Linked DNA regions of Styela clava. The protein of the gene in region 1 purifies or fractionates together with the protein of each later gene. This does not show direct contact. Links are inferred from orthologs where the notes say so. Each region holds a gene or a part of one and is shown on either strand. Other genes may lie near its edges. The genes, in order: WW domain-containing oxidoreductase-like and WW domain-binding protein 2-like.

Region 1 (7,242 bases):
GCGCTTGCAGTGCAAATAGTCCAGCAATCCTCCGACAAATAATTATCCCTCGCAGAATTCAGCCTGCAAACCCACGCAGGGTAATCAAAGGTGTGGTGGCGAGCGTATTCCTGACGCTTAGCAGGATCTGCAATTACTGAACATCTTCCACTTCAAGTGCTTGCAGTTAGATATTCATGCAAGTTTTACCTAAACCTTGATTTAGTCACATTGTGAGTGTGCTCAACGGAGTAATTAATTTAAACAAACCTTCATAAATTAAATTTGGCTATGGAGAAACTTTGAAATAAACATTGTTTTCGTAGATATCCTTTCTCTTTTTTACATTGTAGGGAGTAAAACTTGATTTATCTTTTGTCTGGCCATCAGATTTCAAATATACAAAGTGACAAATTTTCAAATGCAAGCAATCTGTATTATTCCTAAAATCAAGAACTAACTGTATCGAATATAACTAATTTTCAAATTCATGAATTCAGGTTTGATCCCCCTCCCTAATTGAAGGCATACTTACCGATTCCAGAATTTGCACCAGTTATGATTGCAACCTTCCCTGAGAGATCTCTTCCTTCTAATACTTGATCTGTAGTACTACTGGAATCAAACCTTTGTCTAAAACTATATCTATCTTTATCTTCAACATCATATGCAAACGCAAGACGAGGATCAGTATATGTTGTACGATGATTCAGATGACTAAAAGTAATTATATATATTCAACATGTGTACAGAAAAGTTTGATACACTACTGAAAAGATTTTTAGATTATATATATATATGCATATCAATGTGGCTAAAACTGAGGGGGACAGTCAATTTGACTGTTGTGATTGTCAAAAGCAAAGTTAAAAATTTCAACAGTTTCTTCAAAAGTATGTTTTATTTTTTGGTATTTACAATAAAAACAGAGCGGTGTGAAAGAAACAATACAGGACTAATCAATCATAAACCATTGTTTTCAGTGTAAAAAATTAGTCTTCTTACCACAAAGTCAAAAAAAATTTTAAAGTGCGAGGCAGATATTCAGCCTTCCATCTAAACTAAATTTAAAACTTAGTAATGTCAGAAATCTTTTAATTTTATTTTAGATTACCAAATTGCCATTCATAGTACAAATAAGATATTTCAGAATCATACACACTTGCATATGTGAAAGACATGTTACATGTGTTCACATGTGCAACAAAGTACTTACTCAACATAGAAAATTCTATTTTGTTCATCAACCTTCCTCTGCCAACCATAAGGCAATTCTGGAAAAATAAAACAAATTCTGAAAAAAAAAATTGTATAGATAGAAATATGATAGATTATGTAAATATTTTTCAAGATGCTCATACAATGTTTTCTGTTTGATGTTGCAAACTAGACATCACATATAAATCAAATAGCATTAAAAATAGCAGATAAAGATTTTAACATTCCCAAGTAAACTTCAGTCTAAGTTGTCATGATAAACGTGAACCATGAACTTTTGATATGTCTAAAAATTGGTTTGAGGTAAATGAATGTTATGCCAGAGATATATGTGTATCAAATGAGTTCCAGATATATATCATATAAGAGCCTAATATAAAAACCTGAAGCTACTCTTTTTCTTTTTCCACTTTTTGGATTTTCCCACTGAGTTTTCTTTAACAAATGGCTGAAAAGTAAACAAATCGTAGCAATAATTACAAACGATAATTAATATCATATGCAATCAAGCAAATATTATTTGAATCCCCAAGAATAACATACACATTAAACTATTTAAAAGAGGCAGTTTGGTCTGGTGCAATTCGATAATATTAAATTCATGATTGTTTGTGTATTAGCAATATCTCTGACAGTTTATTGGATATTTTTAATATTTTAATAAGAAACTCTTTTCATGATTGAGGCCATGATTGAAATTGGATCAAAATGAACCATCAAACAAGAGATGAATGAATATATATAACAAACATGAAAAAAAAATCTTCACAGCAGTCTTCATTAAATAAACATTGTTGAAATACATTAAATGTAAATTAACACAATAGCAGAAAGCTGATAACTCCTCTGCTTAATGATAAGACAAACAGCAGCCTTTTATTAGTCAATGTAAGATAACAATTGTCAGTTGTGGGTAACCAGATTTGGATGGTGAAGCAGGGATCTCGAATCGGGAAAAATTACCCTTGACTTTGACTCGAATTTGAAAAAATTATGGTGTCGCAAATGAGAAAATAAAATTTGTTTTTCTTTGATACCAAAGGTATTCGCCAGAATTATTCTCTAGTTTTTTCACACTGTTGTCCATGTGCGTCTCTTCGGGGTCTCGTGTACTTTCGTACCACAGTAACTTCTAGTGGGCATGGTGCAACAATTTTTTCTCATGTCATTCCTAACCCCCACCTGACTATGTCATCCAAAAATTGTGTCACTACGACGTTACAGTGACATAATGAAGCCAGCCAAAATATACGATGATCATCCAAAACGCACAGACAATTAACCGAAGTCGAGCAAGCTATTTCTCACGTTTTCTCGTCGTAACAATCCCGATATGAGTGAGATCGCTGGCGTTAGCGAGTTCGATATCGTCGGCACAGATGCTATTTTAGACGATCGTAGCTATGCTTTGGCAAGCTATATGATTTCAGCTTGCATGAATTTATCGGAACTTTCATTAAAATTTAGGATGTGTGCGTCTGCGTCACGAGTCACAACATGTATTTACAGACATGATCCAGTGGTTTAATTAGTTTTCACTTGTTTTCATCATTTGTACCAATCATGGGTTTTTACTAAATTTGCACCAGTTAACTACTGCAGTATACACCGTACCACAGTACGGTACCAGGTACCGGTAGTGTCGCAAAGTCACCTACCGTACTGCCGTACAGTCATACAGTCATAGCTCTGTAGCCAGATAGGCCAGCTGCACAGGCTCAGGCATCTCGGTACCGTACCCTACCTTGCATAATAAACCCATCCATCTTCGGTCGCCCTTTCCTCCCATCCATGTGGCAATTCATCGTCACTGTCTGTGTCATATAAATCATCAACAGGCATCCTTTCGTAGTTTAAGAGTCTTTGACTATTAAAATTAAATAAAAGCTAAAGTCTGAAAGTTGCAAAAAATCGGCCTAAGCATCAAAACGGGGGAAGCACCACATACCGGGGAAAGTCCGCCCTTTCGGTGTTCGATAAACGACCTTTGACCACACAACAAACCTCAATGTATACATTTTATGATTTTTTACGATTTTACGTACAGTTAAAAAGTATGTAGATGTTTAGCTATCGAGTATACCATTTCATCCCAAAACAAAAAGTACTGCAATTTAGATTTAACTTGTTTTACTCTATTCGGAACAATGGAATTTTGGTCTATATATCAAACAACTAATAATGGGGAGTTTCTTAGGTATCCCGAAGAGATTCGAAAAACACCAAATGTAGAGAACCACGTCCCTTTGTCCGGTTGACAGTTGGAAGGAATAGCAAACAACCATAATATTGGTGCATTCAGTAAATACCGGTATGTTAGTCGTTGGTAAATACCAAACAAATTAAATTTACAATCGTCTATTTAAAATTAAATAATATAAAATGAAATAAAAGCTTTGTACGGTGGTGCTGTTATTTCTTTGCAGTGCGGGCGTTAAGTATATAGAAAATTCAAAAGTAAAAAGTGAACAGCTGACGCCACAGATCGAATTGAGCTTTTTTTTTAAAGTCATTCGAGAAGTGCAGTTGAACTTATATTTAATATTAGGCTACTTATTTGCAGTTGAATACATTCCAATACAATATATGCAAACGTAGCAAAAATAGGTTTTATATCCTGGGTTTTAAAAAAGATTGTTATTTGCCACTTATAGACCAGCCAATCATATTTGTGAAACTCTTTGCCGAATTTTTGGAATATTGAAATGTGTTAAATTTATAGTTTTAAATAGGCTTATTAATCATCAAAATTATCTTTCACATCCTAATCTATACCCTCTTGCATTCCGATTTCGCTATTTGGCGTCATTTGTTAGAGTTTTTCACAGGCTGTGATGTGAAAGTATAAAAAAATAAATGAATCTGTACAAATGTATGAACTACCGAAACATGGTTACAATTATTATGACGTAAAACCTCCTCATTCGAGGAAGTTTTCAACCAAGACGTCTTCCGGGCTACAACTATTTTGGGAAATATTTCAAATACGTTTCTTATAAAAGGCTGATCACATGCGTGGTTGCTTAATAATAAATAGGATCAGGTGAATGCAACTGAAAATTTCGTTCGTTGATATCTGTGAACCGTTATTTCTGATGTGGAAACAAAAAAAAATTCATTTTCGATTTCATTCGCTGGGGAAGAGTGGTAGGAACTGGTGTAAAATAAATGAAAATAATTGAAAATTGACACTGTTTTTTCTAACGTAGTGAAAAGGGTTCTATGTTAATAGATGAGTTGTTGTTCATTTGGAGGAAAAATCATCTAGAACCGATCGCATTATTGGTGTGGCACATGACGGTAGACATGCTTTTGTTTTGTTCTATTTATTTATTCATTGATTCATTTTTTAAAGAAGCTAACGTAGATCATGCGGTCAAGCGAGTATCACTGTTCTTTGACACCGCGTAGTAGTTCCCGATTGGGTTCTTGCCGGTAACATTTGAAACATTCTACCTGAATATGCGGAATGCTTCCCTATAGTAAATGTACCGATGTGAATGATCGTGCTGTAATAATCCGCTACCTCAAGTCGAACAGTTACTATTGTGTTAGGCTTTACATTGGCAATAAATTAATCAGCGTTCATAGGTTTAGGTCTAAACAAATATATATATATTTAAATAAATGGCAGAGTTAGATAACACAATGAGAAAAGATTGTGTATTATCATCTGGAATGAAATATGTAATATTTATGGAATTCTTCAAATTTGTCGCTAGTTTCAATTTACAAGATTTATCAACGGGCGTAATGTTATCAAACTTCAAGCCTGATTCCCAGTTTGGTTATGACGTGGCTTTGCACAAAAACAGCGATGGTAAAACAAGGTGGGATATAAATATTGTATATTTCTGAATTAGTTTGTTCAAATTAAAATATGTATGTCTAGTGTAAAATGTGCGTTATCCGGAAATGACGTTGGAATTGCACGTACTTCCCGTCTGACAAAATGACATAGTTTCACATTTTTTTTTTTTCACAATACTTCAGAGCTCATCAACTCATCTTTTCCCCCTTTGTTTTTTCCGTCAAAGTGTTTGAAAAAATAACTGTAACCGAACTGCATGTAATAATAACTTACTACAACAACTGCAACATTTGAGGGCAAATCCAATAAATCACTGTTTTTATAATGCAACGCGACATGGTAAATTGATAGAACAAATGGTAGCCTTGTAGTATACGAACCAAGATGGCGGACACCGGAACGTAATATGTGGTACAAATACTACGGGCGTCACTTGGCTAGTTCCCGAACTTGTAATAGAACTAAAATAAGGAAAATTGGAATAAAATTATGGCCTTACCTAGGGGTGGGCAACATACCGCCCGCGGGCCGGGTCCGGCCCGCTGACTGTACATCAGTACATTATGATATTACATTATTACAATTTCAGTACATTATGATAAATTCATTATGTGTTTTTTGGTCTAAAGTTTAAACTTTACTTTAAACATGATTTATAACTTTCTTTCTTGCAATAGCCAATAAATATGTGATTAAGATATTGAATACTATCCATGTTATAATCTGGCCCCCCCGAGGACTTCATTTTCCCACATCCGGCCCGCCGACTAGAGAAGTTGCCCACCCCTGGCCTAACCCTAACCTGGTACACACACTACGTTTTGCCATCTTGGTTCGCATGCCATGGGGGAACCAAACAAATTCCATAACGAAATTCTCTGCGTATATTTTAATTTCAAAAGTAAATCCCAATTTATCGAGGAATCCTATCATTCAACGATATTGTATAGTAATTTTAATTTTTTCAGATTGCTTGTCAGTGTTCCTAGAGATGACAGTCTTGGGTCAACTTCGAATCTCGTTAGTACAACAGCGGGCGTCCTTTATTCATGTACTTTACGGGAAGGAGTTGCAGGAGAAATGAAGTTGCCAGGGCATTGTTCACTTTTTCACAAGGACAACAACTTAGAGAACGGTATGCGCAAACCTGCAAAAATACCCAAATTGTATCAATTTATTTAATTCTCGGATGAAATCACTCGCGTCTCTTTTGCCTTTTTCATCTTTGCGCAGTGTTTTTAATACTAATGTGCAACGTGCAATTCTTCAATTAAAGGAAACTAGAATAATTGTGCCCACGTGGGCATGCACTATGTGCGAAGTATTCCTACTTTTAGTGTCTTACAGCGAAATGATTTTTATTTAGACAGACCTATTCTGAAATACGATTTCGAGACGACATCTCTTTCGCAGATGGCCGATGATGATTTCGATTGGGAAATTAAACTTGGAGCAACGAGCTCTGATCAGACGGGGCCATCACATGATCATACAATACAAAGTAGTGTTTTAAATATTTATTTATTTGTTTTCAAATACAACGTAAATTTATTTCGGTATTCCATTTCATAAATATATTTTAACGCTTACAGCTCTTGTAAAATTATTTACTTATTACATTATTGGTAACGTTGTTCATAGAGCCAGACACGGGATCTTACATGCTATTGGAATGCTCCAATCCGAGAACTGGAGGAGAAACAGCAGTAATGTCGACGCCTGTATTGAAATCCTCCAATGGTGCTTGTGTGAGGTATGAAAAGCAATGAAATGATGATTAAATTTGACATTAGCATTAATACATATTAAAGAAATTCATCTAATACGCAATGGCATATCATGTTTTAATGTATTCCTTAATGTGAAAATTAGATGATTCATAGCTAATTGAATCTTTAAAAAACCTTATATATACACAATATATACCAAACACACTTTACATCTGTTTAGTTGGTGTGAAAATAAGATAACAAGTCTTTGCCATAACAGGTTTTGGTATCATATGAGAGGAGAAAGTATGGGGAGTTTGAATTTCTATATTTACACTAATATGACCGGGCCAAGAATGATATGGTCAATAGATCATGATCAAGGAGACATGTGGCACGAGGGATGGGTAACTGTAGCATCATTTGAACCCTACCAGGTATTTGCATGATTATGGTTATAGAATGAAAGATTTGACGGACTCACAGGCAGGTGGACAAAACGGTTCCATTACATTTGAACCCACG
Region 2 (8,155 bases), on another chromosome or scaffold:
AGAGCGAGCAAGAAATACAGATAGAACCACGATACTGACACCAAAAAAGCCGACACACCTCTTGGCACAGCGTACCACCCACTCCTCCAAGCAATCAGAATAATATTTCAAAAGTACCCATACATCCTACACCGCGACGCGCGACTGCAGAAAATATTCCCAAACCCCCCCATTATAGGCTACCGAAAATGTCCAACACTAAGGGATTTATTTTGTGCGAGCAAAATTAAAAGTGGAACACAAAAAAGCCGACCAAAAAGGATTTGAAAAATGCAACAGAAAAGGGTGCACGACCTGCCAACATTCATTTGAAATCTCAATATTCAGAAGCACATCGACCGGCAAACAGTTCCAAATCTTTAAACAAATCAGCTGCAACACGAGAAATGTAATATATCTAATCACCTGTAAAAAATGCCAGGCACAGTACATTGGAGAAACGGGAAGAAAATTAAAGTCTCGTACGGCAGACCACCTTAGGGACATTCGGAAAAAGACCCCAACACCAGTTGCCAACCATTTTAACAGGCAAGGGCACAATATAGACGATTTCAGTATTCTAGGAATTGACTCACTAACCCACGACAAACTTTACAGGAAAAACAAAGAGCATTTTTGGATTGACAAAATGAAGACTCGGCAACCACAAGGAATCAATAGAAAAGATTAAAACTCAAACGAAGAAGTGGCCTTAACGCAAATATGAAACCAAAAAACAAACAGTACCATCAAAACAACAACAACAATACAAACAAATAACGATGAAAAACAAACAAAGGAAACTACCCAAATAGATGAACCCCAACCCAACCACATCAGTTAGACCTGCTATTCTAAGATGATACGATAGCATCCATATCCAGTTATAGGAAACTCAATAATAGGCTAAATTTATATGATCTTTTATATTTACAGTTATATCTTGTATTGTTTGAAGAAGTTAGACCATGATCTAACGAAAGCTCACAAATATACTTACTATTTCGTTGAAAGAGATCATGTTATTTTTACTGTGCCACATACGGATCCGAAGTAGAAAGTAATCAAGGAGAAAGGACCTGCAGTTCAATACACAATATCCAAGTTCCCCTAGTACATTTATGTACTTGAGAATTTCTCTAAGGTTTCGTGAACGAGTCACATGAAAAAACAAGTCGGTAGGCGCCCGGGATCTCCGCTGATACTCAGCCCCGCGTCTGTATTATGCTATCGCGATGATCCAATTCGTTTTAGTCCCTGTAGCACTCTAGTGGTCACCAGTAACTTCGTTCGAATACAAATCTCTTTTATTTCCGAGACCATTTACGCATGCAATAACAATCACCGATATTGCCTGTTACCGATGGCGATATTTCCTGTTCATTTTGAACGCTGTGCGTCTGCTTTTTAGCGTTGCATGAGGAATAAAATGTTGCTAATTATTGAAACATGTTCACTAAAATTCCATCAATCAATCAATTTAATTCCAAAGGCTTCACCAGTTTATAGAGTATCGAGATGAATGGCGGCTTGTTAGAGAAAGCATTTTCTCTCGCGAGAGGTAGCAATCTCAGAATTCTAATTTTCGACTTAATTTACAAGAAAATTGCAACAGAATGTCAAAAAATTAGAAATTTTCTCACAATCGGATGTTTTGTGGTTGCTGCCGTGGAAGCGAAACAACAATCCAGTCTTTCAAGGAAACGCATAATACTAGGATGACACTCGACAGGTTAACTCACATAAGAAATTTCACCCAAATTGATCTAGCCGTTTAGAGGCTACATCTAAGCAGACAGACAGAACGATCGAGAATAAGGGTCTCCTATAGAGCGGAGCTCCAATATACAGCATTGGGACTTCAACTTGGGGCTGTATGATAACCTTATATGTATTGCATGGCTGTTACACATGACACGCACAGCTGATTTCTCTCTTCGAGGTCCACTTGATTGACCATTCTCAAATTTAAGAGTCAGTATTTTTTTCCTTCAAGTCAGGTTCATTTTTTTAACCATCATAAGGTTCTGCTTATTTCATACGCATAATACTAGGATGACACTCGACAGGTTAACTCACATAAGAAATTTCACCCAAATTGATCTAGTCGTTTAGAGGCTACATCTAAACAGACAGACAGAACGATTGAGAATAAGGGTCTCCTATAGAGCGGAGCTCCAATATACAGCATTGGGACTTCAAATTGGGGCTGTATGATAACCTTATATGTATTGCATGGCTGTTACACATGACACACACAGCTGATTTCTCTCTTCGAGGTTCACTTGATTGACCATTCTCAAATTTAAGAGTCAGTATTCTTTCCTTCAAGTCAGGTTCATTTTTTAACCATCATAAGGTTCTGCTTATTTCATTTGATCACTAACACTTACTTTTCCGGAAAGGAATACATGTTACAAATACAATGTTAGTTGGTGAGATACGATAGAAGGAAAAAAAATGTGTTTTTGGTCATTATACAGGATATGTATATTATAGATTATAGTTATGTTTCAATGCATCTAATACAGTAATATACATTCCAAGGCTCAATTAGGGAGCCCAAATATTATGTGATGGCATCAACCAGGAAATGAGTTTAAAAATTCAAGGTAAAATCAGCTAACTTTTAATTTCATTATTTGTACTTGAATAAAATAAATCAATATTACCTTGAATGTCATTTCAAATTCTGCGGAACCTTGCCATCCACCTCCTTCTTCAGCCATTATTTTTCCTTCCAAGTGGTTCGCGCCAAACACAGGTTGCTTGATCTCAAAATCCTTTATGAGTTTGAATGGCATGCTAAAATTTTGTAGCATGTCATTTGTTTTGCTGTTCACAAAAAATGCTCTGAAATTCGTAAGATAAAGCTGGCCGACTTTCGATCCCTTCAAGTGCTCAGATGAATATTTGACCTTCTTGAATTTCAGTTCAACATCTTTGTGTTGTTGCACAGTCAGCTCGCCTTGAAATAATTGGAGTCCTGCCGATCTATTGATAGACATGACTGCACAAGTTTTGCAAGGTCCAGGTGATGAAATATTACCAACTTATAGTTTCAGGGTTTAGAGTAAATCTAGAGAGGTAAAATCCTTTTAGTTTTTGTTATTTGCATTAACACAGTTGAGTAGTATCATGTGCATAAAATTGTAAAAAAATTCTCATGCGGCTTCAATTATAAATGCTCATTTAACTGCCTTTCAAATTGCAATGTTTCGATGTCTGACACTGTTCGAGGTTGGTGTGTTTGTTCCGGGAACTTCTTAAATAACGCCCAACATTGTATAGTTTTCGCTGTAGGTCAGTAGGTACCGTACATAACCATCCTATTACAGCATCATGCAAAGGGTTGCCAGATCCTACTGTCCTAGTGATCAAAAAGGGCCAAATTGAGACGAAAAAAAAGCCAGCAAAAGCCAACAATTTTACTAATTACAAAAGCACCTGATGTAGAGCATTTAGTGAGCCACACAAATGTCTTTTCTCATTCAGTCATTGAAAGTTGTATTTTCAGTTGCTAGCTATCATGGCGATTTCCGCTTCAGCGAGATGGAGGGTTGAAAAGGGGTTAATTGAATGGCAGCACCAGAACCTACATTTGACATTATACAGTCAAACTGATATCTATATGAAAGAGTTGGGAAAATAAAAAAAATAGAAGGAAATATCAAGCGGACAGCATCACTCAACAATTCAATATATATACACAGGGTGACGCTTCAGTTTGTGATATACCTTAAAACATTCTCACTGAACATTTTGAAAACCATCATTTTTATTTAAAAAATTATCTAACCATGTGCCCGCTTACAGGTCTGCAGGCGGACTACTGATGGCTAATTTTAGCGTATTTAATCACAATCGTTCGTGACACTAAATTCTGATTACTGCAACTAAACTAAAGCTCCTGGGAAGGCATAATGCAGGAATGACAATTAAGTCATACAACTATATTTGGGAACAGAACTGAACACTGACAAATAACTAAAAGCATGGCAATGTTTACAACCCCGCTTGAACATCTGTTTGAGCGGCTGCAGAAACTGCAACTATTTTTTGTTGGTTATGGTCATAAACAAGAAAATCGATGCTCTTCCAAATGTTAAATAGCTAAGCAATAGGCTATTGTTACACACTAAATATTGTATAATGTATTTCATATGATTTTTAATAATACACATTGAAGGAGACTGAAAAAAGTCAAGAAAAAAGCCAAACGTAAATTCTGACGCCAATCGTGTTTGAAAAAAGCCAAAAATGGCGAATTTGGTGTTAAAAAGCCACATAGCAACCCTGAATTCATGCAGTCATGGCTTGAGATATAACGTTATCTGTATACAGGTATATGAGGTAACGCCGACTGCGCCGAGGCTTTCTACCACAGCACCAACAGAGATATACCTAGCTGTGCGGTAATCAATACCTGCAATCAGGTGAAATTTCTACAACCATCTCGGGGTCGTGATAATAATATTTTCATTTATCACTTGTGATATACACCGATCCCTGCTGTCGATCTTTACACACAACAGCAATGGGCTGCTAGTGCTAGACAGTATCTGCCACTATGAAAACATTTTCTTTGTCATACCTACCAAGTCACATAGTCACTTTGTGTCATACGACCTCTGCACGTGACTTCACTTTCGGTCGTCAGTGCAGTGGCGCAATGGGAATATATTAGGGTAGTAAGGGTAAAAGGTTTTTTGGCGTCTTTGACAACTGGGTCTTTTGCGCCAAATATCAAAAAAAGTAGTCAGTATGATACAATAAAATAGGTTCACAACTCTCGTTTGGTGGATATTGCAAAACTAATGATAAATGGAACCAAATCAGGAACATTGAAAATACAAATAATTTTCCGGGGCACATTCATTTTTGCTGCTTCATGTCTTAATTCGCAATCGTAGGTTACTACACTTGGGACAATATAAAATAAAATGGGAAACAGTTTCATTCGTGTCACATTAACTACAGTGCCCTGTGGAATGTAGCCGTATTTTAAATAAATGATAGTTGAGTCTGAGATGTCCAGTTTGAAGACGAAAAAATACTATTTCTTTTTGGCGGGAAAAATTGAAATAGACAGTCTTTTGGGCTATATGAGTTCGAAAGTTTTTATAATGGCTTGTAGTATCGTTAGCTTGATATGTTAAATACTATTTTGCTAGACATGCTTGCTTGCATAATGTCTTAGCTTCTTCCAATGACAGGTGGAGAACTGCATTGATGACAATTCCATTTGCTCCGTCTTTCGCCAGCCGATCCACTGCCTCATTACCGCTAATACCAATATGTGCTGGTATCCACAGAAACTTGATATCCGTCGTGTGACAAATAATAGCATGAAGTAGTTGTATTTTTGTCGATAAAAAATGCTTAACATTCCAAATATTCTGTATGCTTTCCAATGCAGAAAGACCAATCAGAATATTAATACTTTTTAAGGCCTATTTTGCGATATCCATCAGTATATTTCTCCAGATAATCTGGATATAGAGGACTTGCACGGGTCACGTGACTTTGTTTACTGGACGGCAAAAAAACAAAAACGTCCATTTGAGTCAAACACAACGCCCAAATATTTAAAATCGAATGTGACAGGTATTACTGAGTCCTTGATTCTAAGATGGATTGTAGGGATTTCCTTGCGCTTGGTGAAAAGCACGATACAGGGTTTTGTGGTGGAAAGTTCAACCCCCCCCCCCCCCGCCCTATCACACCAAGTTATTATGGCATTTAAGTGAGATCGAACTTTTGGTACTATTTCCGGGATATGCAATCCGGTCTCCCAGAAAGCTCCATCATCAGCAAAAAGTTTCACCAATGAAGGGACATTTTGTGGCAAGTCATTGATCATAACGGAAAACAGAATTGGGCTGAGAACACTGTCTTAGGGAATATCGTTTTGTAGCCGACATCGACGAATATACTCGGACTTGAAATGAGCGTGTTGTGAGAAATAATCTAATCCATTGATGAATACTGCCACGCACTTCAATTTTGAATAGTTTATATAACAGACCCTCTCTCCACACCATGTCATATATATTATCTTTTATATTGAGCGGTGTGAGCAATGAGATTAAACCACGTCATTGGCGTGAGAAATAATTTTTAAAGAAGATGAATAGATGTTATTTAGATTATCGGAAAGTAAAAATCAAACATACATGGTAATCCACATAAAAACACACGACAAAGATTCAGGAAATGGTGCAATCCAAGATTGCGCGAAAGATGTATGCTCCGAATTGAAGAAACCGGTATGAGATACTACAGCTGGCATAAAATTGAACCTTTCCACATGGGCCCTTTGTTAGCAATGGGTGTTTCGCCAAATTACGGATTCCTTATTTATTTCCGTAACAATGATCAATAAGTAAACAATTACGTAACAATTAATATCGACGCCCAGCACTTGTTTCGCTCGGGCAGTTAGATATCCAAGCATGGTTGTAAACATTGCCTCGTTTTCATGGCTCTATGTGTTATTTATCAATTTTCAGTTGTGTTTCCCAAAAATAGTTATAAATCAAATAATTTTAATTGTCATTATGACTTTTGAGAATCTTCAGTTTAGTTACAAAAGTCAAAAATTAGCCCTGCAGTCGCTGCGATAGACTAGTCTAAAATTAGCTATGAGTATCTGAAATCGGAACGTAGTTGATAATTTTTAATAAAAATGATGGATTTGAACATATAAACCAGTTTGTAAGCGCCAACTCTCCAAAACTTCCTCAAATTAAGCGGTCTTACTCCTTACTAAATAGAGCGCAGAAGAGACGGAAACAGCGCAGAGGAGAGGGAAACATTTTTCTTTCATTATTTATTAGCGTTCGTGAAATTTTAAACAATTTGATGGGAAACAGTATACAGTAGTAGGGAATGATCATGAGTTTATATCAGTAATCTTCAACATCTTTGAATAACCTAACAGACGCAATATGAGCACACCCATAAGCAAAATCAAAGAAATTTTGGAGCTCCAGAAATATATGCACCAAGATGGCGCACAACCTGAACACAGTATGTGCACCAGGTTAGGGTGCGTCATGTTGGGTTATTTAATGAAGATTACTGATATAAACTCGTGATCATTCCATGGAAAACAGTGCAGAACAGAGTTGATTTATTTTGATTATGTATGTATAGTTGACCCGTTCTAACGCACCCCCTATAGAAGTTTGGTTCTACATTGTACGAGCAATTTGTGTCTGTTTGTCAGAAAGGCATATAATTTATCTAAAATATCTATTTTTAAGACTTTAAGTAAATGCATTGAATTTCGAATACTCCTGTTTCCCATACACCTGTCGTTTTCAAGCTATCGCCATTCAATGAGTCATCGTTTAGATTTTTACATTCTTCAAATAGATCGCTTCCAGTTGTTTCAAAATTCTTTCGATCTTGTCAAATAGCAACCTCCACCTGGTCCGACAGTTTACTACGACCATGCGGCTCGGAAGATTGAACCGCTTCTTGGCAATTTCAAGATCCCGCTTTTTTGAAACTGTGAGAAAACCATGCCACCACCCACCAGTCCTTTCGATACAGAAATTGTTCGAGTGACGTGAAAATCTTTCAGCGAGTTTGTCATTGCGAGGTTTGAATTGTTGCCAAAGCAAGAAATGCGGGTCAATCCAATAAGGCTGCATGCCGATTTCACATTCGTCCCGTTGTCTATTGTTACCGCGATGATGTTATTTTTCTGTCTGTAACTCCTAAGATTGAAGCATACACTCCAGCGTGTCTGCAATATTTGATCCAGTGTGGTCCGGTATGAAGTGCGTTTCAAACGGTATGAATCTATCTCCTAATTTTCGTTAATGTAATGCACTGACAGGCTAATTGGACAAACGTGAGCAGCTTCCGTGACTTAACGTTCTACATTTATTCTGGCCTTCTCATACAAAGCTGGTATGGCTGTTCCTATAAAATAGTTCCAGCTTGGTAAACGGTACCGTTTGTCTGATATTTCCAACAGCTCGCGAAATCCCTCTTTCTAAACACTGTAGCTTGGCATAACGTCTTTAGTTAGACCGTAAATATATGTAAGACAAAGCGTTATTGCTTCTGTTATGCTACAGAGGTCGCTTGATTTTGATTATTCGGCACATTTTTTCAAAGCAGCTTCGTACGTTAAGATGCGTTTTTGGTTTAGTATTTTCTT

The links.
Region 2: the proteins of WW domain-containing oxidoreductase-like (region 1) and WW domain-binding protein 2-like purify together in Homo sapiens (affinity purification with mass spectrometry; 3 studies listed by BioGRID and IntAct, with this or other methods). This does not show direct contact. The link is inferred for Styela clava from reciprocal best matches to the Homo sapiens genes WWOX and WBP2.

What each region holds. Positions count from the first base shown.
Region 1 is NC_135260.1:12,231,031-12,238,272, reverse strand, and holds the start of WW domain-containing oxidoreductase-like, read right to left. Parts: upstream 3,145-7,242; 5' UTR 3,040-3,144; coding exon 2,942-3,039; intron 1,646-2,941; coding exon 1,581-1,645; intron 1,254-1,580; coding exon 1,196-1,253; intron 697-1,195; coding exon 515-696; intron 1-514. Other genes in the region: integrin alpha-1-like, read left to right, coding at 4,846-5,027, 5,977-6,143, 6,375-6,509, 6,650-6,761, 6,998-7,154. UniProt on the Homo sapiens protein: Putative oxidoreductase. Acts as a tumor suppressor and plays a role in apoptosis. Required for normal bone development. May function synergistically with p53/TP53 to control genotoxic stress-induced cell death.
Region 2 is NC_135251.1:30,811,926-30,820,080, forward strand, and holds the start of WW domain-binding protein 2-like, read right to left. Parts: upstream 3,078-8,155; 5' UTR 2,988-3,077; coding exon 2,652-2,987; intron 1-2,651. UniProt on the Homo sapiens protein: Acts as a transcriptional coactivator of estrogen and progesterone receptors (ESR1 and PGR) upon hormone activation. In presence of estrogen, binds to ESR1-responsive promoters. Synergizes with YAP1 to enhance PGR activity.